Coturnix japonica: one gene and its partners. Each later gene encodes a partner of the first gene's protein in a complex. Links are inferred from orthologs where the notes say so. Each region holds a gene or a part of one and is shown in the gene's direction. Other genes may lie near its edges.

Region 1 (3,500 bases):
GTGATTTCACTGTGAAGATTCTTAGACATTCTGATGCAAGTTCACCACCTAAGTCCCTTTTCTCTTTTCCCAGCCTCCACGGGGAATCCTGCTCTATGGTCCACCTGGCACTGGCAAAACACTGATTGCCCGAGCAGTGGCCAATGAAACTGGGGCTTTCTTCTTCCTGATTAATGGTAAGTTTTGGGTCTGCTTTGGAACAAGATATGCTGTGTAATCATTCATCCAGCTAAGGCAGCGAATGGTTTAAATAAGGCTCGTATAGGCATGTTGCCTCCTTGACATCTGTCCTTCTTTACCTCTTTCCGGTGCCCCTCTGTGGATGCTTAGATGCCATTTGTGCGGAAGCGTCTTTAGTGGCACTGTACTCAAGTGTAATTGTTTTGTTGCAGAGTGGCTGAAAGGCAGCTTTGTGTTGCAGGAACTCAGTCTGTCCGAGTGTTCATTTATGTTGTAGGGGCATGGCTAGGAGTGAAGCAGTGAGATTATTCCATGTATAGGTGTAAACTTTTTTCTTCTTATCAGCATGTTTTATTCCAAAAAAAAAGCTAGTCTGCATTGCAATTTTCTTCCCTTCAAATAAAGTACAAGACCTTGTAGTTTTCAAGTTTCATTTAACTTGAATTGGAAGGAACTTTTCCTGAAAGCTGCAGCGTGTGCTGAGGAACTTAGCTACAAATGACAGAACCTCATGCTGATCATTATCACTTACAGCAGTTGAGATAGATAGATATGAGTTTATGATGTCCGCTATGAAGACAAAATTCTGAATTTTCCTCACTGCTTTTCTCGCATCCTAGAATCACAGTATCATAGAATTGCTCAGGTTGGAACAGACTTTTAAAGATCAAGACCAACCACAACCCAACCATGCTACCCCAACTCTAACAACCCTCTATTAAATCATGTTCCCAAGCACCACATTCAGACCTTTTTTTAAACACACCCAGGGATGGTGACTCAACCACCTCCCTGGGGAGCCCACTCCAGTGCTTAACAACCCTTTCTATAAAGAAGTTTTTCCCTGATATCCAACCTAAACCTCCCTGGCACAACTTGAGGCCATTTCTTCTCGTCCTGTGACCTGCCACCAGTGAGAAGAGACCAACCCCACTCTTGCTGTAAGCGCCTTTCAGGTGTTGGAAGAGAGCAATAATGTCCTGCCTCAGCCTCCTTTTCCCCAGATTGAACAGCCCCAGTTCCTTCAGTCTCTCTTCATAGGGCATAATCTCCAAGCCCTTCACAAACCTTATTGCCCTTCTTTGGACCTAATCCATCACCTCCATGTCCTTTCTGTACTGAGGTGTAGCTTCTTTCTAATTGAAATCATAAAAGAGAGGTAAGGCAGCAGTTCTCAAGTACAAACATTCAGTTTGCTACAATAACTGAATGTTTGTACTTGAGAACTGCTGCCTTACCTCTTTTATGCTTTGAGTTAGACCCATGAAGCTGAAAGAAGCACAGCATAGCAGAGAGCGGCAGGATCTGCTTTTTAACTCAAGATATCATAGGAGTGACCAGTGGTAGCGAATTAACTTGCTTTTACTTCTGACAACTTCAGATATAAAGTGGGAGTCCCTACCCATATGTCACCCTTGTCTTATATTTTTTAAGTGTATGAAAGGTGTCACTGATAATAAGCCAGTCTCCAGAAACCTGTGATTCTGTTACATTATAAACATACCATCTTTTGTCATAATTAGTGATGTGTTCTCTGCTCATCCCAAACCTGAAGCAGCAGGTGGTAGACAGAGCTGGTGTGAATTGATGAGTTACCTGAAGTAAAACAGTACCTGCCTGCACCAGTGTGCTCTGCAGCTGGAGCACTTCAGTCAGCTAGCAGCTTTGCACTCCTGAGGGTCAGGTTTATTTTCCTTGGATCCTTCTGAAGAAGCATACTTTGTCTTCAGGATCATTCCCATAATGACGATGGAAAAAATCTAAACAAATTAGATTGGTAAGCGTTAGAGTTCAGCAGTTGTAGGAAATCTCAGGGGATCGCTGTCCTTTCTGGAATTGATGTGTTCGTATTTCTTTATGAGTTAATGTTTTGCGGGGAGGTTGCCTGGGGTGCTTTTGTGGCTGTTTGCTTCTGGGTTTGGTTTTTTTTGGTTATGTATGTGTGAGTTTGTTTTTTCTGTTGTTGTTTGTTTTGTTTTGGAGCTTACTTATAAGCTTGTATAGAGGTAAATGTTTACCTGTGTAATGCAAGCTGAAGACAGCTTCAGTATCTTACAGCTTTTTCCTTCCCTACTCTGATAATTCATCACCATATAATTTGATTGCTTTTCTTGCAAGCTAGGACTGGCATTAACAGTGTGGGGTGGCACATTACAGAGAAGCTCACCAAGTGTGAAATAGGGTAAGAAAAGAGGCAGCTAAAGGTAGCTCATTGACTAGTACTGCATTCTGTTAGAGTAAACTGAAAACACCAGAGTAACGATAGAAAGTAATTCCGCATGCTGTTCTTGCCTGTTCAGCTGCAGATTTAGTGAATTTGGTTGATAGTGTTTGCTTTGGCTTGAAATATAGATACTCCTGTGTGAATGTGGTACTGAAAAAATTCAGGTGCATGTCTTGGAGCTAGCTGCTTCTCTTCTGGGTGCCACAGAGCTGCTATTTTTTCAGGTCCTGAGATCATGAGCAAGCTGGCTGGTGAGTCTGAAAGCAACCTGAGGAAAGCCTTCGAAGAAGCTGAAAAAAATGCACCTGCCATCATTTTCATTGATGAACTGGATGCCATTGCTCCAAAGAGAGAGAAGGTAAAAATGGCCTTTGGGATCTAAAGAGGTATCTGTACACCCTCTTGGTAGCAACTGGCATGACTTTGTGTGCTTTGAGCGTAGGGTAAAGCAGCAGTTGGACATGAGAGGAACTGTGCATCTTTCACAGTGTTTCTTAGCAGCTGGTGGGTTTAGTGTCTGTCTGATATGGTGCAGCACTAGTACGTGTGCTGTGCTATAGAGCTTTACGTCTGATCATTGCTTTCCATCTCCACAGACACATGGAGAGGTGGAGCGTCGCATTGTGTCTCAGCTGTTGACTCTTATGGATGGACTGAAACAGAGAGCACATGTGATTGTTATGGCAGCTACCAACAGACCGAACAGCATCGACCCAGCACTCAGGCGATTTGGTAACTGTCTTATTAGCTCTGCTTTGTCTGCTAGATACTTTATTACAGACTGTGCTTCTGGGACCTTGAAAAGACTGAGCAGAAATTTAATGTTAAACTTTTTCTGTGTGGTTTGTTGACTGCTTGTTTGAGTTCAGCTTCTGGGGTTCTGGGCTTTGGTATGATTTTTTAGCCTTACTAGGTTAGAGCTTAGGAAAATAACAAAATACTTGAAATCTAATGCTAGCCTTTCTTGGCTGAGGGTAGCTTGGGGCACACTGAAGGAGTAAGTGGCTGTTTGAGAGGATGTTCATGCCTTAGGCTGCGGAATAATTTTCTGGCTTCTCTTAATTTTTATTGATGAGGAGTCAGGCAGTTTCTGAGA
Region 2 (4,268 bases), on another chromosome or scaffold:
CTCAGCTGCATTCCCCAAGCATGAAATCCTGCTCGTACCTTCACAGGAGTTCAATGGCAGCCTATAAATCACAGCGCAATGCAAAAAAAGCAGCCTTGCTTACGGCTCACTCACCGCACAATTAAACCCTCTTCCAAGCAAAACAGGAGCTGGGAAATGCCAACAGGAAGGAGCGTTCCAAGGCGGCGATGGAGCAGCAGCAATGCCAGCAGCACAGGAGCACGGCGGGTACAGAAACACACGTTCCCAAAGTAATGCAGTGCTGGGGCAGCAGCAGATTCCCACCAGTGTGGTTCTGTGGAATGCCGAGATAGAGCAGCAAACTGACATTTCAGCTGCTTTGTAATTAGAGGGGTGGATAAAAAGAGTAAAAAATGCTGGGGGAGGAATGTGAAATTGCTGGGTTTGGAGTTGGCTGCTGTGGGAAAAGGCAGATCCTGACAACAGTGCGGATAAACAGCTGGAATGGGAGAGCCCTGAAGAGGAAACGAAACGCCCCTGGGTGCTGCAGGGAGCACAGCCTGCAGGGACGGAGTGCGTGCAGCTCCTGTGCTGGAGCCTGCATGGTTCCTGCTGGCACTGAGACCTGGCTGCAGCACAGCAAGAAAGACAGGGCAGGGAGGGGAACTGTATTTTATTAATTCCTTTTTTCCCATATTTTAACATATGTGGGGCTCTGGATGCAGTTTGGAGTCTTGCAAATGCAGTGAATGCTTCTTGGGGAAGGGATGGGAGCATTGGTAAAGAACTGCAGCACTGAGGGACACGATGTGCTTGGTGGGTGTGGGGAATAATCGAACCATCACAGCATGGCCTGGGTTGCAAAGGCCCACAGTGCTCATCCAGCTCCAACCCCCTGCTGTGTGCAGGGTCACCAACCAGCAGCCCAGGCTGCCCAGAGCCACATCCAGCCTGGCCTTGAATGCCTGCAGGGATGGGGCATCCACAGCCTCCTTGGGCAACCTGTTCCAGCGCGTCACCACCCTCTGGGGGAAAAACTTCCTCCTAAGATCCAACCTAAACCTCCCCTGTCTCAATTTCAAACCATTCCCCCTTGTCCTGTCACTGCCCACTCTCACAAACAGCCGTTCCCCCTCCTGTTTATACGCTCCCTTCAAGTACTGGATGCCCACAATGAGGTCTCCCCGCAGCCTTCTCTAAGCTAACTCAGCCCAGTTCCCTCAGCCTTTCCTCATAGCAGAGCTGCTCCAGCCCTCACAGAACACCTTGGGTTGGAAGGGACCTCAAGGACCATGAAGCTCCAACCCCCCACCACAGGCAGGGCCACCAACCTCCACATTGATACCAGCCCAGGCTGCCCAGGGCCCCATCCAACCTGGCCTTGAACACCTCCAGGGATGGACGGGGCATCCACAGCCTCTCTGGGCAGCTGTTCCAGCACCTCACCGCTCTCACACTCTCATTCCCCCCATCCCCGCCCGCCGCTCGGTTCCACAGCCGCCCTGTGTAGGAGGGGCCGCGCCGTCTCAGTGTAACGGCCATGTCGGGCTTCGTTCGGGAGCTGGAGCTCCGTTCGGGCCCGTCGCTGCGGCTGTTGCAGCGCTCTGGCGGGGTGGGCTGCGTGGTGTGGGACGCGGCGCTGGTGCTCGCCAAGTTCCTGGAGACCGGCTCGTTCCCGCTGTCCCGCCGGGCCGTGCTGGAGCTGGGTTCTGGTACCGGCGCCGTGGGCATCATGGCGGCCACGCTGGGGTGAGCGCGGCGCCGCCGTCGGGGGCTGCGGGCGGGACCGTGCGGGCTGCGGGCTGACGGCACCGCGCGACACTCAGGGCCGACGTGACGCTGACCGACCTGCAGGAGCTGCAGGAGCTGCTGGCCGTGAATATCGACAACAACCGGCACCTGGTGACGGGGTCGGTGCGAGCCGAGGTACTGAAATGGTTTGTATGGGACTCAAATGGTTTGTATGGGCCCCGGGGGACGCGCCCGCCCCGCCCGCCCCGCCGCCGCTCGGCCCAGGCTCACCCCGAGCCCCGTTACAGGGGGCAGGACGTGTCCGGGTTCCGCCCGCCGCCAGATTACATCCTTATGGCGGACTGCATCTACTACGAGGAGGTAACGGGGCGACGGACGGGACGGGGGGAGTGAGGGGGAACGGCCGGTGAGGTGACCTGCAAAGGGGAACCGTGGGCAGTTCAACCCCTGTGGGCAATTCAACCCCTATGGACAATTCGACCCCTTTGGACAGTCCCTGGAGCCGCTGCTGAAGACTCTGCGGGAGCTGACGGGCCCCGATACGTGTGTGCTGTGCTGCTACGAACAGAGAACCGAGGGGAGGAACCCGGAGATTGAGAGGAGGTACTTGGAGGTGAGTGAGTGAGTGAGTGAGTGTGTGTGTCTGTGTGTGTGTGTGTCTGTGTGTGTGTGTGTGTCTGTGCTTCATGTGCAGCTCTTTGGAACGGCAGGACAAAGGGCATGGATTGGAGTGAAAGAGGGCAGGTTTAGGTTGGATGTCAGGGGAAGTTCTTTACTGTGAGAGCAGTGAGGTGCTGGAACAGCTGCCCAGAGAGGCTGTGGATGCCCCGTCCATCCCATGGTGTTGAAGGCCGGGTTGGATGGTCCCTGTGCAGCCTGTGCTGGCCATTTCTGTGCTGCTGCTTTTGGGCACAGAGCTGCAGAATGGCCCGTGTGTGTGTCAGAGCAGTGATTCCATAGCAGCAGGTCAGCAGGTGGCCGTGCTCTTCTTTCTGCACCAGCTGGTTGCTAACACACACAGGTTATGGGGACAGTTAAACATTAACCAGGTGAGAAGCTGTTTTCCTCTCACGTGCTCCATGGAAAGCACAGGGCGGGCTGCTCCACAAATCCAGCTCTGCAAACCAGCACAGCTGCATTGACAAGCAGCGCTGTGCTGCACTGTGGGTGCTGGTCCTGCTGGGATCCCTCGGACCAGCTGTGTGCTGTGAGGTCGGACACACAGCACAGCTCTGGCTGTCCCTGCTGGGCTGCCCCCATGTTGGGTTTGGCTCTGTGCTGTGAAGGCAGCCGCCCTGTGCCAGCAGTACCTGCCGTCAGTCGACGTGTTTCTGGATGATTTCTGCCTTCCCATAATTAATTTCCTTCCTCGGCTGGTCGTGGTTCAGCCAAGTGGATCCTGCAGGCGCTGTGTGTTTGTTTGCCTTTCCCTCCAGTTGTGAGGGCTGGCAGAGCCAGGCGGGCGCTGCGGTTTGGAGGCAGAAGGAAGCAAAGGCTTCTATCTAAAGCCTTCGATTCAGACCGTTTTTTAATTCACCCTTTAACTGATGCCTCCTGTTCTGTGCTGCAAGGTGTCTGCAGCTGTGAGCTGGCACTGGGTAGATGAGGGTAGATGAGCTGCACCAGGAGACTTGTGGCTTGTTGCTGTGGGCAGCTTTGTCACCGGGCCTGGCTTTGTGCACGCTCCGTTCCAAAGGGCAGTGCCACCCGATGACCCCACACTGTCCTCACAGCTGCTTCAGGTGGACTTTGAGCTGGAGCGAGTGCCCCTGGATCAGCACGACGAGCAGTTCCGCAGCGAGGACATCCACATCCTGAGCATCCGCAGGAAAACAAAGGTGGGTGACGGGGCTCCCTGCGCCTCAGCCAGCGCATGTGGCCAGCACTGAGCTGAGCTGCTGCTCATTGGCACCATTGGAGCTGTAAAGTGACTGTGAAATGCCTGAGGGACCCCGTGAAGCTGCAGAGCAGAGCTGTGCTTGCAGAGCTCTTTAGTTGTGAAGCACAGCGCTGTGCCAGGTGCAGCCTTTGTCCCTGTGAGCTGTGGGCTGCAGGATGAAGGTTTGGGGCACCCAAGTGTTACAAACACCACGCAGTGCTGCTCTGGGTGCCCTGTGCTCCGCTGCCCTCCTCCCCACCCCACTGCATAGAGCAGAGCTGGGCGGCCTATCCCAGTAACCTCACATTGCTTAACAGACAGATGCATAACAAAGGTATCTGCTGCTGACACATGGGTCCGGTGTTGAAACAAAGCCAGTCTGTTCTGACATTTGTACCTTTCTGCTTTCCCTTTCAATCTCTTCACAGAATTCCCCGTTGTGAGCTGTGTGTCGGCACTGCCCGTCCTTTGGCAGCTGGCTGGGACCCTGCTGAGGAGGGAACCCCACCAAGGACAGGCCTGCAGTGTTGGTGATGTAGAAGTGTCAGGTTGGGCCGTGTGCCCCCCGTGCACCTTTCCAATAGGAAGGACACGCTGCCTGCAGGCTCAGGCAGGGTGGGATGGGCTCACCATGCAGTGCTGCTGTGTGCTCCCATAGGCAGCACTGCCCGAGGAG
Region 3 (2,711 bases), on another chromosome or scaffold:
TCTCTTTGGATGTTTCCTGTTGGTGGGTTTTGGAGGTTTTTAGGGGGATCAGTGGTGAGCTTTGGGTGATGATGGTTTTTGGCTTTCCTGGTGTTACTGCAAGCTGATGCTGTTTCTTCAGCTTCTGTTGCATTGGAGCTGCAGGTCCTGCCAACTTGGTTATTTTATGCAGTAGTACTTCAGTCCTGTCAGTTTGTTAGAATCAGCATAGACAGCAGCAGTGCTGTGGATGGTGACATCATATGGCTGTAGTTGTTTTTTTCCCAACAGCAAAAAGTCTGTTTTCTCTGGTTTGGCTGCAATAACGTTAAGTTCAGTAATTGCTGTGTATTCTGAGCATGCCTTAAAATATGGCAATGTTTTGAAAACCCTTTTTTTCTTTTTTATCTTTATAGGTTTGGTTGATGGCAAACACTGTACTTTTCCACATTTGCCTGGTAAAAACTTTGTGTACAACGCAGCAGAAGATCGATTAGAGCTGTGTGTGGATGCTGCTGGGCACTTTCCTATTGGTCCTGATGTCGAAGACTTGGTTAAAGAGGCCTTAAGTCAAGTGCGAGCAGAAGCTACTTCACGGAGCAGAGAATCAAGTCCATCTCACGGAATGCTGAAGCTGGGTAGTGGTGGAGTAGTGAAAAAGAAATCTGAACAGCTACATAACATAACTGCATTTCAAGGAAAGGGCCATTCGCTAGGAACTGCATCTGGTAGTCAACAACATGATCAAAGAGCCAGGGAAGCACCACTTTTAAGAAAGCATAGTACAGAAACAGACTTCAGTCCTGCTAAAATTGAGCCTTCTGTATTCCCAGCTGCTTCTGGTAAGAGTGAGCTGATCCGAATAGCTCCTGGAGTTGTGACAATGAGAGACAGCAGGCAGCTCGACCCTACTTTGATTGAGACACAGAGAAAAAAGTTGCAGGAGATGATCTCTTCTATTCAGGCTTCAATGGATAGACATTTGCGGGATCAGAATACAGAGCAGTCAGCATCAGTTGATGTATCTCAAAGAAAAGTAGAGGCAGCGAGTTCAACTGCTAAAACTGGGAGCTTTCAGGCTGGCTTGCCTGAATCGTTTTCTGCACCGGGTGGTACTGAACACTTGAATACCGAGTCAGCTGGTGATAACATGGTGAATTCTGTGGGAGCAACTTTCCCTGCAAGGTCTAAAGCACAAAAGGGAAATTCTGTTGAGGAGCTTGAGGAGATGGATAGCCAAGATGCAGGAATTGCTAATGTAACTGAGCCAATGGATCACTCTTGATAGGTTAAAATCTAATAAGGCTAGAAGAAATTACTGTTCAAATGTAATGTTTATTGGCTGGGCCACACAAAGTGATTAGTTATTAAATCTTGTATGTATGTCAAAAAATTATATCATCTTATTCAGTGCATGATAAGCAAGTGTGTGATTGGCAATAGCTTTTAATATTACCATACTGCTACCCAGGCTGGCTCTGTTACCTGTAAATTAGTTATTAGGAAATGCACTGAGATGAATATCTGCTGTAATGTGGGCTATTGAAAGTTCTTTGTGATTTTTAATTCCAAGTCAGTCTTAAATTTTAAGCCCATGCGAGATTCTTGCCGTGCTAGTTGAGGCTACTGGAAAGGCTAAACCAGGCAAAACTAGGAACTTGACAAGGTTAATCCTGTCCCAGGTACTCAGTTCCACTCCAGGATACACTATAAACATGAGCTACATGTATATTTCAATAAGCAACTGAAACGCAGCTTGTCTTAAATTTTACAATGCGACATACACATGACTTTAACTATGTTGTATTGGCACTTCCTCAGATGCAAAAAGGTTTTCATTCACACAGCTGTATATGCTTGTCAGAAATCTTGGGATAAGTGTAACTGTAGTCAACTCTAATTTCTGCATGTGTCAGGTTAAGCAAGTGAGAAGAGTGTACGATGAAGATGAAGTGAAGGTGGTGTGGTTATGCCTGGCTGTCTGAGTCAGCACAGCCATTTTGATGCTCTGTTATATCTCCTCCCAGTTACTGAGCTGGTTCAAATGTTTTACAATATTAAATACAACAGCAGGAGGGAAGTTGGCAATTGTAAGAAACAACAAAAGTTCATTAGCAAATCAGTTTCTCTTAAAGGGCTTCAATTACCGGCATTGGTCAGTAACTGGCAGAAAAAAACTCCAAAACCCAAACGAATAATAGCTTCCCTCTTCCGAGCAGATTAGTGATTTATTGGAAGGAAATGTCTCTCTAAAACATTGTTTTCCTTCCTTGGGTGTTCCTTAATACATGTTATTTCATTGGCTATAAAGACTACCCACCTCGATTGGCTTCAGTTTGTGATGCAGATTTCCCTGTCTGTAACATTATCGCTGGTATCCAAGTAAGTAGTGTGTTCATCAGACCTGCAGCGCTAATTCTTAAGAAGGAGCCATTGTGCTCGCTCCCTAAGGATGGAATGTTTATCTGATATTGCACTTTGCTTCCTATCTTCATAGTCACACTTAAGTGCACTGTTGTTGCTTCTTCTAATGGTAAAATAACATTGAATGGATGAGAGATGCTAATGCAGCTTCAAAGGAATTAAGAGCATTTAAGATACTGAAGTCGGTGTTTGTGCACATGTGGGGTTTTTACCAGTTCAGAAATGTTTGTATTGTAGATGTTCGTATTCAGAGAAGTCTCCACTTTTTACATTTCTAATCACTTAAACCATTCTGAGCATTGGATGCA
Region 4 (2,677 bases), on another chromosome or scaffold:
TGAGAGAACTTTGAGCAGAAGGCAGAGATTTGGGTAGCAGTTCTACCCACACTTGGTAGCAGGCAAGGCTCAAGTTAATGCACTCCAAAATGTGCAGCACTGTGTTAGAACACAGCTGAAACTTGTCTTGAAAATGATCTTAGTTATCTTAGTGTGGACTCAGTTTCTTTACAAAGCTGTTATATGGCTTTGAGAGTTCACCTGGTCTCTTTTTCTTTTCCCTTCCATTTCTGTCTCAGAATAAGGGCAGAGCCAATGTGCAGCTTTCTTCACCTGACAAAATACATAGACTACAAGAAGGTAATTTCAGCTGAGATGCCAATAGACAAGAATTTGCAGCAATAACATCTCCTACTTCAGTAGGCTTGATAGTACCAGCCCAGGCTCTTCCTTCCCAGCACCAGTTCGAGAAATTACTTACCAGTATGGATGAAATTGAAAAGTAAAACCATTAGGACATATTAAACAGTTTTTCAATCTGTTATTGTGTTCTTAGTCTTCAGAGATTCAGGTTGGAATGCAATCATGTCTATATGCACAGCTTTCATGTCCATATCCCTTCCACAGGATTAAAGATATTCGAGATTTCATTATCCAGTCCCGTCCAGCATTTGCAACAACTGATTTTGTTCTTGTGACGACCTTTCCAAATAAAGAGCTAACAGATGAAAGCCTGACTCTACGAGAAGCAGATATACTTAACACTGTGATTCTTCAGCAACTAAAGTAATCTTAGAGCCATTGCTACAGTATGGAGTCTGTGCTGTATTGTCATACAATGTTTTCAGTAGATGAAAAACAGAAGGATCGGCATCTTTATTCTTCCACTTCCATAGATCAGATTCTTGATTTTCATGTCTTCCAGCTATGGCATATCTTATTTTAATTTCTCAGCATTGTTTAACCCCTTTTCAGTGTTAAAATTGAGTTTCCCTGTGTTAGTATGTTTCAAACAATGGCATGTATGAGATGTGAGCTATCACAGTGACTCTTCATTGTTTTATGGGGGAGGGGGGAAGAAGCATTTTACTGGAGGGGAGAGAGTATTTCATACGGTTGGTAAGATTTGCACTATGGAAATGTTTTATGCTGCATTGACAAACAGCCATGTGAAAACTTAGCCTGTAGGTTATGTTTACCTTCTAAGCTGTATTAACATCAAGGTATTATGTTTGATAGGTTGACAGATAATTAATGCTGTATTATAAGTTTTGTATATTCTGTTTCTAGTGTTTCATCGTGTAGTATAATTATTTATATTTTAATTCTTATGTAAATATCCTTATATTGTTGTTTTGAGAGAATCAGTATCAGGAGATGCAAAGCTCAGCTCTAGCGGACTATAGTAGCGTTCTCATTTGTATTCTGGTTGTTCTACTTGTGGTGTAAACTATGAATTTCTTTTCTTCTGAAGTTAAGGAAGTGAGAAAGACCGCTGTCATCTGAAGAACTGCTGTGATGTAGGTTTTGTGATGGTAGGTCTCTGGTCACTTTGAACTTGAACCCTGTGCAGCTGTGTGATTCTTCACATGAACAGTTACTTAAATAAAAACTACAAAGGTGCACAGACACAAACATTGTTTATTCAGTCATTTGCATGCACAAAAGTAGATGTGTTAATTGATTGTGTGGCTTTGACCTGAAAGTCAGATCTTTATACTTGGAATTTTGGCTAAAGACCTTTTGTAATATTCAGTGGGGATTTAATTGTGCAACTTGCCATTATACACTTCCATTGGAGGCTGTATAATTAAACCTCTTAATCTTTGAAATCACATATATATATTTCAAATAAAGTGGTAATATGTAAGTAGGAATCTTACATAGTGGGTAGACTGGCTGCAGATTTATAATATTTGTGGCTTTATATCAAATGAATGGATCAGACTCTGAAGGAGGGTAAATGGTCTGTATTCTTTGTACAGATATATGTATTAAAAATCCTGTTTTCACTGATTATTTTACCTTGCAAATATCAACACACTTATTTATGCATAGCTTTATCTTTGGTTGGTATATCAGATTAATCTCAACTTTTCATCTCAAAGCAGAAGTTTTCGTAAATTTTAAATGTGCAGTTGTAATTGAAGCCATTTGCTTTTGTAATCTGTTGGCATGATTTAATCATAATGCATTTAATGTGCTGAGTAAATAAACTTCTACGTTAAAAGACCGTAGGCAGTTTTTGTTCGTCTCAGTTTCTGTTGTGTCGAAGTGCTGATTATGTTGCTTGCCAAATATAAAAGATATTCAGGCCTACATGGAAAGGGATGGACACGCACTATGCTTGTGTTTTATACATTTATATTCTACCTATAAATTTGAGGTCAGAGTCAGTATTGTGAAGCAGACCATAGGCAGTCTGTGCTTTGGGCTTATTTCAGCTCAGAATGTAGGTGCAGTTCCACTGCTTATTATTTCTGAAAGCTGACATTAAACACAATGTTTAATCAAATAATATTTTTTTTCCCTCTTGCTGTGCCAAAAAACAGCTCATATTATGACAGTGTTTATTTCAAGTAGCTGGTGAATGTTAATGTTCAGTAGCAGCTGATAGGATCTAGGAGCCCTAGTAGTTGAGTTTATTTTGTCAAGCATTAGGAATACATGTCAGTGCGTGAATTAAAATATTTCACTGCCTCTAAGTACTTGAAAACCTCTAGAACTCTTATTCTCT
Region 5 (4,177 bases), on another chromosome or scaffold:
GGGGGGGAGATATGGAGGGGTATTGGGGTCTATGGGGATGGGGGATCATAGGTTTAAAGGGGTCAGGGACTGTGGTGAGCTATGAGGGGGGAATAGGCTGCCAGGGAGGGTCCCCATGGCACGAAGGTGAATGATTTTGAGGGGGAAAAAGCAATGAGCAGCCATCTCGTTAGGGACAGATAAGCAAAATGAGCCTCCCAGAGCCATGGGATGGAGCTTTAGGGAGGTTAAAACCCATGGGATGGAGGTTAAGGCCCATGGGATGGAGCTTTAGGGAGGTTAAGGCCCATGGGATGGAGCTTTAGGGTGGTTAAAGCCCAGCAGCTCCATGGAATTGTCCTGATATAACCATGAGAGCAGGGCTGGGGGTATGGAAGGCATCCCTTAAAGAGCACAGCCATGTAGGGGAAGGTTGGATAGGAATGGAGAGCTTGCCCTTAATATAGGGGAAAGTTGGATAGGAAAGGAGCAGGGAGCATGCAGAGGAATTAGAGCTGATTTAGGATCATAGACCTGTGATTTAATGACCTGATTTCTGTGCTTTCACGGAGCCAAACCCAACCAGCCCATCTGATTCATCCTGCTTTAGCTCAGCTTTTAAGCAACAATTTGCTGCTGCATCCCAAGTGAGAAATGGAAGCTGGATGAGATGCAGCTGAGCCTGGTGAGGCTGTTAGCAAACACAACCCACACGTGTGGCAGGGATTAACTACGGAGCAATTACACCTATGGGAGAGGAGTGAGAACAAACTGAGTGTGCTGTGTTCCCTGTTGGGGGCTGCTTAGAAGGCCATAGGAAATGATGGAGGGGATCTGCCCCTGTGCTGGTTAGAGCTTACCTGGAGCATTGAGTCCAGTGCAAAAGAGACACAGACCTGTTGGAGTGTGACCAGAGAGGGCCATAAAAATGATGTAGGATGGGTTGAGAGCTGGGGCTGTGTATAAGAGGAGGCTCCATAGGGAGATGAGAGTGGTTTCTCAGTACCTATAGGGGCTATAGGAAACAAGGGGCTGCTCTTTAGCAGGGTCTGTGTGATAGGACAAGGGGAAATGGCTTCAGACTAAAAGAGGGGAGATTTAGAGTGGGTATAAGGACCCAAAGAGGTGTCTATGGGGATAATATGACTATGGATGGGGCTCTTTAAGCTGTGGGTGACCTTATTCTCTGCAGGAGTGTGACCAGATGGCTTTTAGAGGTCCATTCCAATTCAGACCACTCTGATCTGCATCTTGACCCACTTTACCTGCCCCATAGTGGGGCTGAAGGGTCCAACTATAGGACACCATACAGGTCCATTAGCCCCGGGGAGCCTGGAGGACCGCGCACAGAGACGGCTGGGTAGAACGGCAGGAAGGCGTTGCTGCCCCCACCTACTTCCGGGTGCGATCACGTGAGTAGACCGGAAGTGGGAGGTGGGTGCGGCCGGTACCGTTCCGGTGTTGGTTCGGGTCCCGGTTCCGTCGCTATGCGCAAGTTCTTCCAGGAGATCAAGGCCGACCTGAAGTTTCGAAGCGCTGGACCAGGCCAGAAACTCTCGGAACCGACTCGGTACGGGGCTCTGCACCGCCGGTAACCGCTCGGTACCGCCCGTTGGGCCCAGAGATGGAGCTCGGGACCGGGACGTCACGGCTTGGGGGGGGGCTGTGTTAACGAATGGGGCTGGGAGTGATTGGGATCCATTGAGTCCATCCAAGGGCTGGTTGGGATCCATTGAGTCCATCCAAGGGATGTTTGGGATCCATTGAGGCCATCCAAGGGCTGGTTGGGATCCCTACAACTTGATGTCCATCCAAGGTTGTTGGGATCCATACATTGAGTCCATCCAAGGGCTGGTTGGGATCCATACATTGAGTCCATCCAAGGGCTGGTTGGATCCATACATTGAGTCCATCCAAGGGTTGTTTAGGATCCATACATTGAGTCCATCCAAGGGCTGTTTGGGATCCATTGAGTCCATCCAAGGGCTATTTGGGATCCATACATTGAGTCCATCCAAGGGCTGGTTGGGATCCATACATTGAGTCCATCCAAGAGCTGGTTGGGATCCATTGAGTCCACCCAAGGGCTGGTTGGGATCTATACCTTGAGTCCATACAAGGGCTGGTTGGGGTGCTAAAAGCTGTTACTGCCGGTCAAGGGGCCCATAGAGCTGCGTTCTGTCCTGTAGGGTCCCCAAGGAGAAGCCGAAAGCAGAGGCAGCACCGAAGCCTCGACAAGGACCCACCGATGAAGCACAGATGGCGGCGGCGGCAGCGATGGCTCGGATGGAGCTGAAGCCCAAAGCGAAGCCACCTTCCTCCTACGAGGCCATAAAGAACCAGGGTAGGAGATTCCTCGCAGTTACAAGCCTGGCTGGGCTGCAAAGCTTTATCAGTGTTACCTCCAAGCTCAACCAGCTGCTGTAGGTCTGAGCGTAGAGTCCCCATCTTGGCAGCTGGAGCTGGCTCCTTGATGACGAGCCTCTTAGAAATGGGGTTAAGGCAATCAGCTGTGCAATGCAAAGCACTCTGAGGAAGCAGAGCTCTGTTCCCCTATTGCCATAACTGGGATTTTTTCTCTCCTAGTGAGAAAGGAGCTGATGGCTGAGGCAGCTGCAAGTGAGAAAGGGGTTTGTGCAGACCAAGAGGTACGAGCAGCTTGTTCCCTATGATAAAATGAATGCTTTGAGAGTGCTGTTGTTCCTGTCCTATAGATATATGCAAACAACCCACAGCAATCCAATACAATACAAACAATACAATTCAGTTGCACCTGCTTTTGTCTCTTTTAGGACCCAGCCTTCTCGTACAAGGAAGCTGCAGCTGAACCCTCTGTTTCAGGGGTTTATTTCATCTGCCCATTGACCAGCGCAGTTGTAAGGAAAGATGAGAAAGAAAAACACATCAGAGAAGCCATCCAGTCGGTGAGATCTACATCTGCAGGCTGTGCTGCTTCCATTTTAACTCATTTTGTGCATTAATCCCCTCAAGCAATACAGCAGTTACCCTCCTATCTTCTCCCCTATCTCTCAGACTGCAGGCTCTGTTCAGATGTTATAAGTGCCTGTCCCTTTGGCTTGCTATAAACGCTCTTTGATTGTACAGAATAGTCAGTCCACCCACGACTTCTCTTCTTCTTTCCCAGTATTTTGCAGTAGACCCAGTGGCCGCCTCCATCATGGAGATTCACACCTTTAATAAGGATCGGGACAAAGTCCGAGTGGGTGTAGAAACCATGGCCAAGTAAGTAGGATGGAGCACGCAGGGAGCTTGTCCCTTCCCTGGAAGGTTAACAGGCATTGCTGCACTCCAGGCAATGTCTGAGATGCTTTGAGTTGATCTACTGGTCCAAGAGGTTTAGGAGGTGCTGCTTGAAATGAATAGTTTGCTTTCCTTACTTTTCCATATGAGACCTTATGGGCAGCATGTCCTAAAGTGCCCGCTTTGATCCATGAAATACATAGATTCCTCTTTCTGCAGATACTTGGACAATATCTATCGGCATCCAGAGGAGGAGAAGTACCAGAAAATCAAACTACAGAACAAAGTATTTCAGGTGAGATCAGGATTGTTGCAGCTGTTCTGCCTGGGGAACTCATTGCCTGGAGCAGATTACATTTAATATTTTTCCTTTTCTTCCAGGAAAGGATAAACTGCCTGGAAGGCATACATAAATTTTTCCAGTCTGTTGGGTTTGAGACAAAAACACTGCCTGTTCCAGGACAAGGCAAGATATTTAAGTGTATTATAAAGTGAAGGCAGCAGCCTGAGTGATGGGACATCCCAGGGGAGGCTCTGAGAGCTTCACACTTCAGGGCTGTTTTACATGAACAGCCTCTGGTCCTGCTTTTTTCTTGTTAAGGCAGTAGGTTTTCTGGAGATTATTGCCCTTAAATTTCATATGTGAACGTGCTTTTGGTTGTAGACACCACTGAAGAATATTACGTACTGAAGGAAGAAATGCTGACCAGGTTGGAAGACCTTAAGTACTATAAAGATCAGCTTTTAAGCTGTGAGCCGCTGAGACTCCAGCTGGATCGCCAGCTCTGTGTATTTAAACCATCACCTGAAGCTGCCCGATTTGAGCTGCCAAATGACTTCTACAACCTCACTGCAGAAGAGATAAAACGAGAGCAACGGCTCCGGTGAGCAGGTTTCAAGTGAGGGCCTCCACTACCCAGGGGGCACGCAATGCCAG
Region 6 (4,103 bases), on another chromosome or scaffold:
CTTACTTAACCTGAGCCTACAGTTGTTCCCATGACTCCTGTTATTTGGGCTTTATCAGGTAAGATAGAAAATATGATTGAACAGGATGTTAAGAATGCAGACCTTCCAGGACCCAGGAAGCCACAACCTCAAGTCTTGTACATCCAGTAATAAGATCTGAGCTAAATACTGCATGGTTAAGAATTACAGCCTGGAGTTACGGTGGCATGAAACTCAAGGAGGCCATTACAGAAAGTGGTGCAATTATAGAAATCCCGGTGTATGTTAGGAATGCCAGAATGACAGATTTTCTAACTCCCAAATCCGCTGATTTCTATGAATTATCAAGATTAGCATTAACTGAGGTAACAGATCTCAACGTGCCAGAACTGAAGGTCTTAGGACAAGGTGTGTGGATGGTGGCACGCTCAGCATGCCCTCCTCGTTTGGCTCCTGTTTGTTCTTGGAAGAGCAGTGTGCTGCAGTTGCTTGTTTTGGCACAGGCTGCTCCTTTAGCTCCATCCCCACCCTGTTTCTAGGAATCCAGCCCCTTCCACGCCTGCCAGTCTGCTGAGCTGTGCTGCTTTTGGAAGGGCGGGTTGCAATTTTTGGATAAATACGGTGACGTATTTGTGTGAATTGCCAAGAAGTTGTGAGGAACCGAAGTGCTGCAGAGCTGGCAGCCGTGTGCAGGTAGCTCAGGTAGCTCTGGCTCTGCTATTTGTACCACTCATTTCTCATCACACACTGGCACCACCAGCCACTGTGATTCCCTAATTCAGGCTCCTACGTTTTCACATAATCACAGAATGACCCGGGTTGGAAGGGACCTCAAGGATCATGTAGTTCCAACCCCCCTGCCTGGCAGGGCCACCAAACATACACCTTTACTAGATCAGGTTGCCCAGGGCCCCGTCCAACCTGGCCTTGAACACCTCCAAGGACGGGGCATCCACAACCTCCCTGGGCAGCCTGTTCCAGGGCCTAACCACTCTCCTAGTGAAGAACTTCCCCCTNTCTTTTAACTTAAAACCATTTCCCCGTGTCCTGCCATTGTCAGCCCATTCCAAGAGTTTACTCCCCTCCTGGGAGTAATTTCCCTTCAGGTATTGAAAGGCTGCAATGAGGTCACCCCGCAACCTTCTCGGATGTGTCCTTCTCTGGATCTATAGTGTCTGAATAAAAAGCTGAAGCAGTTGAACCGTCCGACTTACACAGCTCATTACACACCATCGCGTTGCCGCACCTCACTCCACCTGCTGCCCCTCCGCCCCATCACAGCGCACGGCCGCGCCTTCCCGCCGCTGTGAGGCGCGGGGCGGGGCGGGACGGGGCGGGCCTCGAACCCGCGGACTGGAGGCCGCGTCACGTGGTGCGGTGCCGGGAGCGGGGCCGCCGCTGCGCAGAGAATGTGAGTGAGTGAGTGCGGGGCGGGGCAGTGCGGGGGGATGGGGGCTGTGCCGCCGTGTGGTGCTGGATGTGTCCGATACCCCCGGGAAGGGGCGCAGCGCTGCCTCCCAGCCGCCATAGCGCTCTGCCTTTTCTTCCTTGTCCTCCTCCAGCCGTGAGGAGCGGGCGCTGTTGGCTCTCCTCCATTCAGGCCCCGCCCGGCCGTGCTTGGCCCCTTCCGTTCCGCCGGGTTCCCCCTCACCCGCTGCTGGTGGCAGCCCGGCGAGTTGTGGTTCCTGCGCTGCGCTGTGGCACCGTGTGGGTTCCCCTCCATCCCGTCTCTGTGGGGTATAACGCTGTGAGAGCGGGGCCGTGTCAGCGCTGATAGGCCCTATCTGCTTCATGCAGCTCCTGAGCTGGGCTACGTTTATACAAATAACTGTTTGTTTTTGTACTTATTGCCATAGCTGTTAGAAGGGCAGTTACTACCAGTTATGAGACAGGACGCTAAAAACATGTATCACAGAATTATCAAGGTTGGAAAAGACCAAGAAGATCATCTAGTCCAACCATTAGCAATACTTCGTGGCTAGATCTTGTATTACTTTGTTCCACAGAACAGAGAAGGAGCTTAATGTATCCATTGCTTCCCCCTAGAAGGTGTTTGGCTGGTATCTGCCTTATCGCAGAGGTTCAAAAAGAGCTGATGTTTTGGGGGGATTATCCACTGAATTGCTTTTGCTGCATCAAAAATGCTTTGTCTGTTTGACAGCACATGACAGATAGATTTAGGAATACAGGGAAAATGCTCTGGATGTTGCTTTTAGCATTTCTAAGTGATGAAACCAGCAGCAACGTGTCACGTGGCTCCCGAGTGAATCTGGAACAGGTTTTTTCCCAGTGAAGGAAAACACGGAATTCATTAATTTCTAGTGAACTTGGTTTCAAAGGAGAGATACTAGAAGGTCTCCTGACAGGAAAATCCATGAAGGTTTCTGTTTTTGTCTGTGCTATGCTACAACTGTAGCAGAATTCCTATTACATGAATTTCTATGAGCCAAAATGACTCTTTTTGATGGTAAGCCTGCGTAACTAGAATGATCTGCACCTATGAAAGGAGCGTGTGTGGATAAATGCCTTTCTCTGTACGTATAGATATACCTGCACAAAGGCAATACGTAATAAGAACATTAGGTTGTTCCACCTGGGGAGCTGGTTTATATTGCACCATGAGAAGTGATGTGAGCTTTCTCTCCAGAGGAGGAAATAGTGGATCTTGGTAATGTCATTGTATCTAATGTTACAAAGCTTGTTGTAGCTGACAGCTGTGTCCGACCTCTTCCTTGCATACATATTAAATAAAAGCAGGATGGTTCACTATATTTAAAATCTTTGTGCTTTTTCTTGCATTTATTTCTTCTTGTTTTGTTGATTCTGCCTTCCTTGGCCCCTCTCAAAGTTTCAGGCCAATAGTACGGGCGTGTTGCTGATGCTTCCTGTGTAAAACTCCTTTTGCTTTAAAATCACAGTTTCTGTTTTGTTCTTTCTTGGATATAAGGCTTTGTACTGAGTTTGTTTCTTCGTAGATGAATAGTGACGGTCTGCTGGGCTTTATCTGCAGTCTGAACCAGTTCATGCTCAGGATCAGATGTTCGCCCTTTTCATCCTTTACATGTTTCTAGTGCTGTGGTTTTGTTTTTTGTGTTTGATTTGACCTAACTCCAAAGAGCAGGACGTGCCGTGCAGGTAGATGACAGCTGTATTACCCTCAGTGGAAATGAGAAGCATTTCTCCTGTCTGTTTGTAATATCTGGGCTTACCTCGTAGCACAGGTGTTGAGGAGCAGGGCGATGGACTGGGTTTTGTTTCACATCAATGTGAATCAGTTTTAGAGTGAACTTTTAGATGTTTAGAGGGGGTTTAAGGAGAATCTTCAAACTATAGCTGTAGTAGGAATAGACGGCTAGATTTTGTTTGGACTACAGTCCAAATGATGAAAATATTTACTTAACGGCACGACTTTTCAGTAATCTGAACTCATAGTATTTTATGGCTGTCAGGCCAGCCGGGGAGTTTGTCACAGTAAAAATAGCAGTTCTGTGCTTTGCTCTTGGTTAGCACCAAACTGAAGGATTCTGAGAATGTTTCGGTCAGACCTTTATCTTGAGTAGGTGACAAATATGCAGACACGTGGCAGCCGAGGAGCAGCACAAAGCGACACAAAGGGCTCCTGCAGGGCCGTGCTGGAAGTCTGTGCCTTTTGAAGTGGGTGGCATAGCTCAAAAAAAAGAAGAATAAATGCTTCATTGTTTTAAGTCTTGTTAGACCTCTAGTGAACAGAGTAGAGGCTGAGAAAGAATGTTCAGAGAGCTGGAAATGTATTGCATTAACTAAATAACTAATTTGTTTTTCTTTATATGTTTGTCATTTATAATCAACTACATGAAGTGTTTTTGGCACCCACTTCTGTTTGCTCCCAGTAGTAGGAAGGATTTACAGTACATAGTGTTGCTGCAGTCGTGGTGTAAAGCCTTCCCACTCTCACATGGTTATGGTGCTGCGTGCAGGTTGTTTTTCCTTGGTGTGTGTATGTTAGAAGTATTAAAACTGGAAAAGAAAGACTGTCAGTAGATGGGGAAAGCTTTAAAAAGTGAGACTATGTACTATTTGGCAATCTGAACAATGTGGTATGGCAAGAAGTTGGGGTTTCCACGTAGCCTGTGTTTAAATTGGGT
Region 7 (4,288 bases), on another chromosome or scaffold:
GAGACTGAGGCTTTACGAGGCACAGGCACTGTTCTGTTAAACCAAAGGGTTGTGTTAAACTGAAGGACGTGACTGGAATGTGGTTTATTTGTTGAATTGCATTGTTTGCCTGGCAGTTAACAGGATTGTAACCAGATAAGCTAGTCTTGCAAAGGCATTTTCCCTCTCTCGCATCCTCTCACAGAGTAACCCCTTTCTTAGGCAAAGGGGAAAGAAAGGATCATTCTTCCACAGTCAGAGGCAGGGATCTCTCATAGATGCCAATGGCAGAAATGGTTGTGGGCTCGCATTTACTTCTGTTCATTTTTGTTTTCTTGTTGTTGGCAGCCTGTAACTTACACAGTCTTGCCTGCATTTACTGCTATTTAACTTTCATGTGCAAACTGACTCGAGTCTGATTCTAAGCACCTAATATTCAAAAATTATTAGTGCAGGAGACAGTTATGTTGGAGAAAGTAAAACCAAAAGGGGGAAAAGCCATTCGAGTTAACAGTATTGACTGTATTTAACTTCCAGCTGGCGTTCAGCTGCTCTGCCTGGCTGTAACTGTTGCTCCGTTGTTATTATTTTCTGTCTTCCAGTTGAGTTTGATAGTAAAATAATTCAAAAGAATTTCAGTTTGGATGTTCTGTGGAGCTGACAGCTCCAAGTTGAGGCCTTGGGAGCAGTTTGTGAGCTGCTAGTCAGCAGGTAGCGGCCCTGTTACATAGTTCTCTATTTTGCTATTGTGGAGCCCAGCTTTTGGCTTTTCTTTGGATGCAGCGATATATTTCTCAAGTGTATGTTGTTGGATGAGTGCAGAACAGCAGCTGAAACCCGTGTGCCCTTTGCTGAATAGCAGACGTTCAAGAAAGTGCACTTTGAGGTGTTGTGGATGATCCGTAGACTTGAACTCAGCTCTAGGAAACTTGTAACAGATGTTTTTCACGTCACCTTGATGGCACATCTCTGCTAACGTTGGGTTCCTCCTCAATAAGTGGAGAATTCAAAGAGCCTTCTTGAGAAAGCTATTACAGGTGACCTGCTGCAAATAGTTCATTATCTCCCATTGCTGCCTCAGTCGTAGCGCTGGAAGCCTGTTTGTTATCGACCCCTTTCTGTGTAATCCTTATTTCAGTTTGCTTTCCTGTCACCCAGGCAATCAGATGGAATCCGTTGTTGATTACAGTGTTCTTCAAGGCAGAAGTACTGACTGCCTTCTGTGCTTAACATACTTTTCCTGTCACGATGAGCATGCAATAAGTAAACTCTATTTCCAGAACAAGCCGAGTTTTGTGCCTAAGTCTCAATCCAACCCCGTCTTAAATCATCCCACTTGCTGTATCCGTTTGATTTTTCACTTGTTAGTAACTCGATGCCCGTCCCTCTGGTGCCCGTTCCCCCTCACCCCCCCCTCACACAGCCCGGTTCCCGCCATGCCGCCCCGCCCCGCACGGCGGGGCCGAGGAAGGGCGCGGGCGGGTTTCGCGCTTGCGCAGTGCGCGCGGGCCGGCGGCGTGCGTGTTGTTGTGCGGCGGCGGCAAGATGGCGGCGCACGGGGGCTCGGCGGCCTCCGCGGCGCTGAAAGGGTTAATCCAGCAGTTCACCGCCATCACGGGTGAGGCACACGGAAGGCCGGGCCCGGCGCGGCTCCGAGCCGCTTCTCGCTTCGTCGAGCGGCCGGGATGGAGGAGGAGGTGGAGGAGGAGGAGGAGGAGGAGGGCCGGGCGCGGTGAGGCGGGGGCCCGGCGGGGCGGGGGGCCGGGCCTGTCAGCGGGGCGGCGGGTGGGCGCGGAGCCCGCCCCGGGAAACGCGGCTCCGGAGCGTCGGGCAGCAAGACCCGCCGGACCGACAGCGGTTCGGAGAGCGGGACGGCGGCCGGCACCACGGCTGGGATAAGGGCCCGCATCGCTGAGCAGCGTCCTCTGGAAGTGACCGTGCGGAGCATCGCGGGGTCGGTACCGCGCTCAGCAGCGGGATGCGGCCTGGACACGGGGCGTGCTGCGGGCAGCGAGCGGGACGGCACCTGCACACCGCAATGCTGCGGGGTTACGGGGCGTGGGATCTGCTGACAGGACCCTCGCTAGTATGAAAGATGTGTCTGTGCTTACAGCGTGCCCCGGTGTGTGTCTGATGTTTTCATTCTCAGCAGTGCCCCAAGCACTGAGAGCCAAGCAGAGCTGTGCTGTTCGCCCAGCAGCCCTCTGCTCGTGTAGGTGGGTTATGGAGATGTCTAACCCTGCTCCTACGCTCCGAAACAAGAAAACAAGAGGCTACTGGGCTCTGCCCGCCCACTTCTGAAAGAGGGGTTTGAGGTTCTGTCTTGTTGTTGTAATAGGATGTAAGGTTCTGTTTAGAAGGGAGTTCTTGCGGAGCTGTCTGACCCTGTGGCGCAGTGACAGGTGCTGCACTACACACCCTGTGTCGTCAGCCTGCACCTCTGGTGTGACCCTGCTTTCCCAGGGGTGTACACTGGATGCTCCAAGCCCTGTGGTGCTGTGTAAGTGCGCAGAGCTACCCATGTTTGTGTGGAAAAGGTGAAACAAAACCCATCCTGCCATCTGCTTCCAGCACACCTGATGGTGTAGAATCACAGAGTCACTGCGCTTGGAAAAGACAATATAAACATCAAATAGAGCTGTCAGCCCATGCCTACTCACCCATAGTCCTCAAATATAGTTCTCAGCAGATGTTTTGTGATGCTGGTTTCCTTAGGACTGAGGAAGATTTGGTACATATATATTCTGGTCCTCCTGAATGAGCAGCGCAGGGTGGCTGTGCTCTTCTATTTTGATTAAGGTCCTCAAGCACAGCCAAGTACCACTGAGGTGCTCTTGTGGCAGGTTGGTTTGCAGTGGGTTTGTTTGGAAAAGCAGTTACTTTGGTCGACCTGGCTTTCTTTGTGATGTAATGTAATAGCTCAGGTCATTTAGTGTTGCTTTATCTCAGCAGACTCAGTGTGTGTTCAGCGTATCAATCTGTTTAATCTAAAGCTCCGAGGACTTCCTGGAAAATCTCAGAGACACCCAATGGAAGCAGGTTAAATGTGTTTGCTCAGAGTGGCGTTAGCTGTCATTCTGATGCTGGGGAAATGGAGTTTTCTTCATTTCAGTGAGTTGTGGTGAAGCTGGTAAGAATTATTACAGACCAAAAGCTGCTCCCAAACTGGTTCGGCTGCATTTTGCCACTTTTCTTCTACACCAGCTTTTCCATATTAAAATAGACTCTTTGGCAGCCTCTACCTATAGAAACTTAGTGTAGTAAATGGGCTCTTAAAAGGTTGGATGCAGGAGAGATTCATTTGGTGAAGGTGCTTTTGTTGTCTGTGTGGCTTTGAGGAAGCTTTAGAGGCAGACCCTGTAAGGGAGAACAACTAACAATTAACTGAGCTTCTGCTTGTTTGTTTTTGCCTTCTGGAGCACTCAGTGAAACAGGGAATCTTTAGTTTCTATCTTTACATATCTGTTAGAGGTGGGTAAAAACCTTTGGCACTGGGTATAGTATTCTCACTGTTAAAATATTAAATCAGTTGGTTGTTTTGTTTTTTTCCATATAACACAATAGAAGTCAAACTTAATAAGCAGAATTTTCTCCCGATGGAAAGGGGAAGTGTGGCTGTTGTTTCCTTTTCCCTTGAGGTGCGTGTTTGTCTCACCTCATAGTTGTGCCTTAGGGATAAATGGCACCTGCTCAACTGCTCTAATGGTCAGTGCCTTAAAAGAGAAAGCTGGTTAGCTGTTCCCGTTGCTTCTGATCAGAATGCTTTACAAAGAATGCTTCAATATATATTTGCTTGGCATTGCAGGTGCCAGTGAAAGCGTGGGAAAACATATGCTTGAAGCATGCAACAACAACCTGGAGATGGCTGTCACCATGTTTCTGGATGGTGGAGGCATAGCAGAGGAGCCCAGCACCAGCTCTGCAGCAGTGTCTGCAGTTCGACCACACACCGAGTACGTACTGCATAAAAATGAGTAGTCTGTCCTATAAGTTTCATAGTGTAAAGACAGATCAGTTAAAACACTTGTTCTTTCTTTGGACCTTCTGTCATCTCAGTGTAACATGTGCTTCTTCAATGATCTCATTTAATTGATTGCTTTGATATTTTTCTTAATAAATAAGTTTATCTTGCTGCACAAGCTGGTCTCTCTTGAGTGTGCTTCAGAAGTTTTCCATTGCATGCACATGCTGTTGTTGCAGGCATAGCTCGAGTCATTGAAGTGAGGATCCAGTGAAAAGTGGGATCTTCTGGCACATCAGTAACTTAATATTCAAGTTTTTGTTGGAATACTTTCCTTTTTATACTGGA

What was found.
Region 2: the proteins of VCP (region 1) and VCPKMT are in contact, whole or in part, in a crystal structure (PDB 7OAT), measured with the Homo sapiens proteins. The link is inferred for Coturnix japonica from reciprocal best matches to the Homo sapiens genes VCP and VCPKMT. Residues at the interface, in NP_009057.1 of Homo sapiens: Arg239, Gly280, Glu283, Ser284, Arg287, Lys312, Arg313, Glu314, Lys315, Thr316, His317, Gly318, Glu319, Val320, Glu321, Arg322, Arg323, Ser326, Gln327, Leu329, Thr330, Asp333, Pro355, Ala356, Arg359, Phe360, Arg362; in NP_078834.2 of Homo sapiens: Arg14, Ser15, Phe16, Val17, Arg18, Gln32, Tyr33, Ser34, Ser35, Gly36, Gly37, Val38, Val41, Trp43, Asp44, Ile47, Val48, Leu97, Asp144, Tyr147, Tyr148, Glu174, Arg176, Thr177, Met178, Gly179, Lys180, Asn181, Glu209, Tyr210.
Region 3: the proteins of VCP (region 1) and VCPIP1 are in contact, whole or in part, in a cryo-EM structure (PDB 9DIL), measured with the Homo sapiens proteins. The link is inferred for Coturnix japonica from reciprocal best matches to the Homo sapiens genes VCP and VCPIP1. Residues at the interface, in NP_009057.1 of Homo sapiens: Asn589, Asp627, Asn750, Arg753, Lys754, Met757, Phe758, Gln760, Thr761; in NP_079330.2 of Homo sapiens: Trp609, Ser620, Asn621, Val622, Tyr623, Asp624, Gln645, His649, Leu652, Thr655, Ala656, Lys657.
Region 4: the proteins of VCP (region 1) and UBXN2B are in contact, whole or in part, in a cryo-EM structure (PDB 8B5R), measured with the Homo sapiens proteins. The link is inferred for Coturnix japonica from reciprocal best matches to the Homo sapiens genes VCP and UBXN2B. Residues at the interface, in NP_009057.1 of Homo sapiens: Arg113, His115, Glu132, Leu140, Ile182, His183, Cys184, Glu185, Glu187; in NP_001071087.1 of Homo sapiens: Phe215, Ser216, Gly217, Glu218, Gln220, Leu222, Gly223, Leu225.
Region 5: the proteins of VCP (region 1) and UBXN6 are in contact, whole or in part, in a cryo-EM structure (PDB 8FCO), measured with the Homo sapiens proteins. The link is inferred for Coturnix japonica from reciprocal best matches to the Homo sapiens genes VCP and UBXN6. Residues at the interface, in NP_009057.1 of Homo sapiens: Pro23, Arg25, Ile27, Gln43, Asp47, Gln50, Leu51, Phe52, Arg53, Gly54, Asp55, Leu58, Lys60, Gly61, Lys62, Arg64, Leu72, Glu80, Lys81, Gly97, Val99, Ile100, Ser101, Gln103, Pro104, Cys105, Pro106, Asp107, Val108, Lys109; in NP_079517.1 of Homo sapiens: Pro279, Ser280, Pro281, Ala283, Ser284, Phe286, Glu287, Leu288, Phe292, Phe293, Asn294, Leu295, Glu299, Ile300, Arg302, Glu303, Gln304, Leu306, Arg307, Ser308, Val311, Leu314, Ser315, Val316, Leu317, Arg318, Thr319, Lys320, Ala321, Met322.
Region 6: the proteins of VCP (region 1) and RHBDD1 are in contact, whole or in part, in a crystal structure (PDB 5EPP), measured with the Homo sapiens proteins. The link is inferred for Coturnix japonica from reciprocal best matches to the Homo sapiens genes VCP and RHBDD1. Residues at the interface, in NP_009057.1 of Homo sapiens: Asn33, Asp35, Val38, Phe52, Arg53, Gly54, Asp55, Thr56, Ile70, Leu72, Tyr110, Pro137, Tyr138, Phe139, Leu140, Glu141, Ala142, Tyr143, Arg144, Pro145, Ile175; in NP_001161080.1 of Homo sapiens: Ser300, Glu303, Met304, Arg305, Gln307, Arg308, Leu309, Arg311, Phe312, Asp313.
Region 7: the proteins of VCP (region 1) and UBXN7 are in contact, whole or in part, in a crystal structure (PDB 5X4L), measured with the Homo sapiens proteins. The link is inferred for Coturnix japonica from reciprocal best matches to the Homo sapiens genes VCP and UBXN7. Residues at the interface, in NP_009057.1 of Homo sapiens: Val38, Leu51, Phe52, Arg53, Gly54, Asp55, Ile70, Leu72, Pro106, Val108, Tyr110, Leu140, Glu141, Ala142, Tyr143, Pro178; in NP_056377.1 of Homo sapiens: Arg418, Tyr419, Pro420, Asp421, Gly422, Arg424, Leu455, Asn457, Phe458, Arg460, Lys462, Gln480, Glu481, Thr482, Phe484, Val485, Gln486, Asn489.

The regions. Positions count from the first base shown.
Region 1 is NC_029547.1:7,821,650-7,825,149, reverse strand, and holds part of VCP (transitional endoplasmic reticulum ATPase), read left to right. Parts: intron 1-73; coding exon 74-176; intron 177-2,628; coding exon 2,629-2,762; intron 2,763-3,000; coding exon 3,001-3,136; intron 3,137-3,500. UniProt on the Homo sapiens protein: Necessary for the fragmentation of Golgi stacks during mitosis and for their reassembly after mitosis. Involved in the formation of the transitional endoplasmic reticulum (tER).
Region 2 is NC_029520.1:52,362,561-52,366,828, reverse strand, and holds the start of VCPKMT (protein-lysine methyltransferase METTL21D), read left to right. Parts: upstream 1-1,468; 5' UTR 1,469-1,501; coding exon 1,502-1,710; intron 1,711-1,787; coding exon 1,788-1,898; intron 1,899-2,000; coding exon 2,001-2,073; intron 2,074-2,206; coding exon 2,207-2,326; intron 2,327-3,446; coding exon 3,447-3,551; intron 3,552-4,020; coding exon 4,021-4,035; 3' UTR 4,036-4,268. UniProt on the Homo sapiens protein: Protein N-lysine methyltransferase that specifically trimethylates 'Lys-315' of VCP/p97; this modification may decrease VCP ATPase activity.
Region 3 is NC_029517.1:104,312,226-104,314,936, reverse strand, and holds part of VCPIP1 (deubiquitinating protein VCIP135), read left to right. Parts: intron 1-395; coding exon 396-1,264; 3' UTR 1,265-2,711. UniProt on the Homo sapiens protein: Deubiquitinating enzyme involved in DNA repair and reassembly of the Golgi apparatus and the endoplasmic reticulum following mitosis. Necessary for VCP-mediated reassembly of Golgi stacks after mitosis.
Region 4 is NC_029517.1:101,289,820-101,292,496, forward strand, and holds the end of UBXN2B (UBX domain-containing protein 2B), read left to right. Parts: intron 1-239; coding exon of another isoform or gene 240-345; exon of another isoform or gene 346-466; intron 467-567; coding exon 568-730; 3' UTR 731-2,177; downstream 2,178-2,677. UniProt on the Homo sapiens protein: Adapter protein required for Golgi and endoplasmic reticulum biogenesis. Involved in Golgi and endoplasmic reticulum maintenance during interphase and in their reassembly at the end of mitosis.
Region 5 is NC_029543.1:1,643,137-1,647,313, reverse strand, and holds the start of UBXN6 (UBX domain-containing protein 6), read left to right. Parts: upstream 1-1,377; 5' UTR 1,378-1,466; coding exon 1,467-1,549; intron 1,550-2,168; coding exon 2,169-2,323; intron 2,324-2,565; coding exon 2,566-2,627; intron 2,628-2,771; coding exon 2,772-2,903; intron 2,904-3,124; coding exon 3,125-3,222; intron 3,223-3,459; coding exon 3,460-3,535; intron 3,536-3,621; coding exon 3,622-3,706; intron 3,707-3,904; coding exon 3,905-4,124; intron 4,125-4,177. UniProt on the Homo sapiens protein: May negatively regulate the ATPase activity of VCP, an ATP-driven segregase that associates with different cofactors to control a wide variety of cellular processes.
Region 6 is NC_029524.1:7,758,242-7,762,344, forward strand, and holds the start of RHBDD1 (rhomboid-related protein 4), read left to right. Parts: upstream 1-1,303; 5' UTR 1,304-1,390; exon of another isoform or gene 1,391-1,398; intron 1,399-4,103. UniProt on the Homo sapiens protein: Intramembrane-cleaving serine protease that cleaves single transmembrane or multi-pass membrane proteins in the hydrophobic plane of the membrane, luminal loops and juxtamembrane regions.
Region 7 is NC_029524.1:3,593,472-3,597,759, forward strand, and holds the start of UBXN7 (UBX domain-containing protein 7), read left to right. Parts: upstream 1-1,488; 5' UTR 1,489-1,524; coding exon 1,525-1,597; intron 1,598-2,639; exon of another isoform or gene 2,640-3,784; coding exon 3,785-3,932; intron 3,933-4,288. UniProt on the Homo sapiens protein: Ubiquitin-binding adapter that links a subset of NEDD8-associated cullin ring ligases (CRLs) to the segregase VCP/p97, to regulate turnover of their ubiquitination substrates.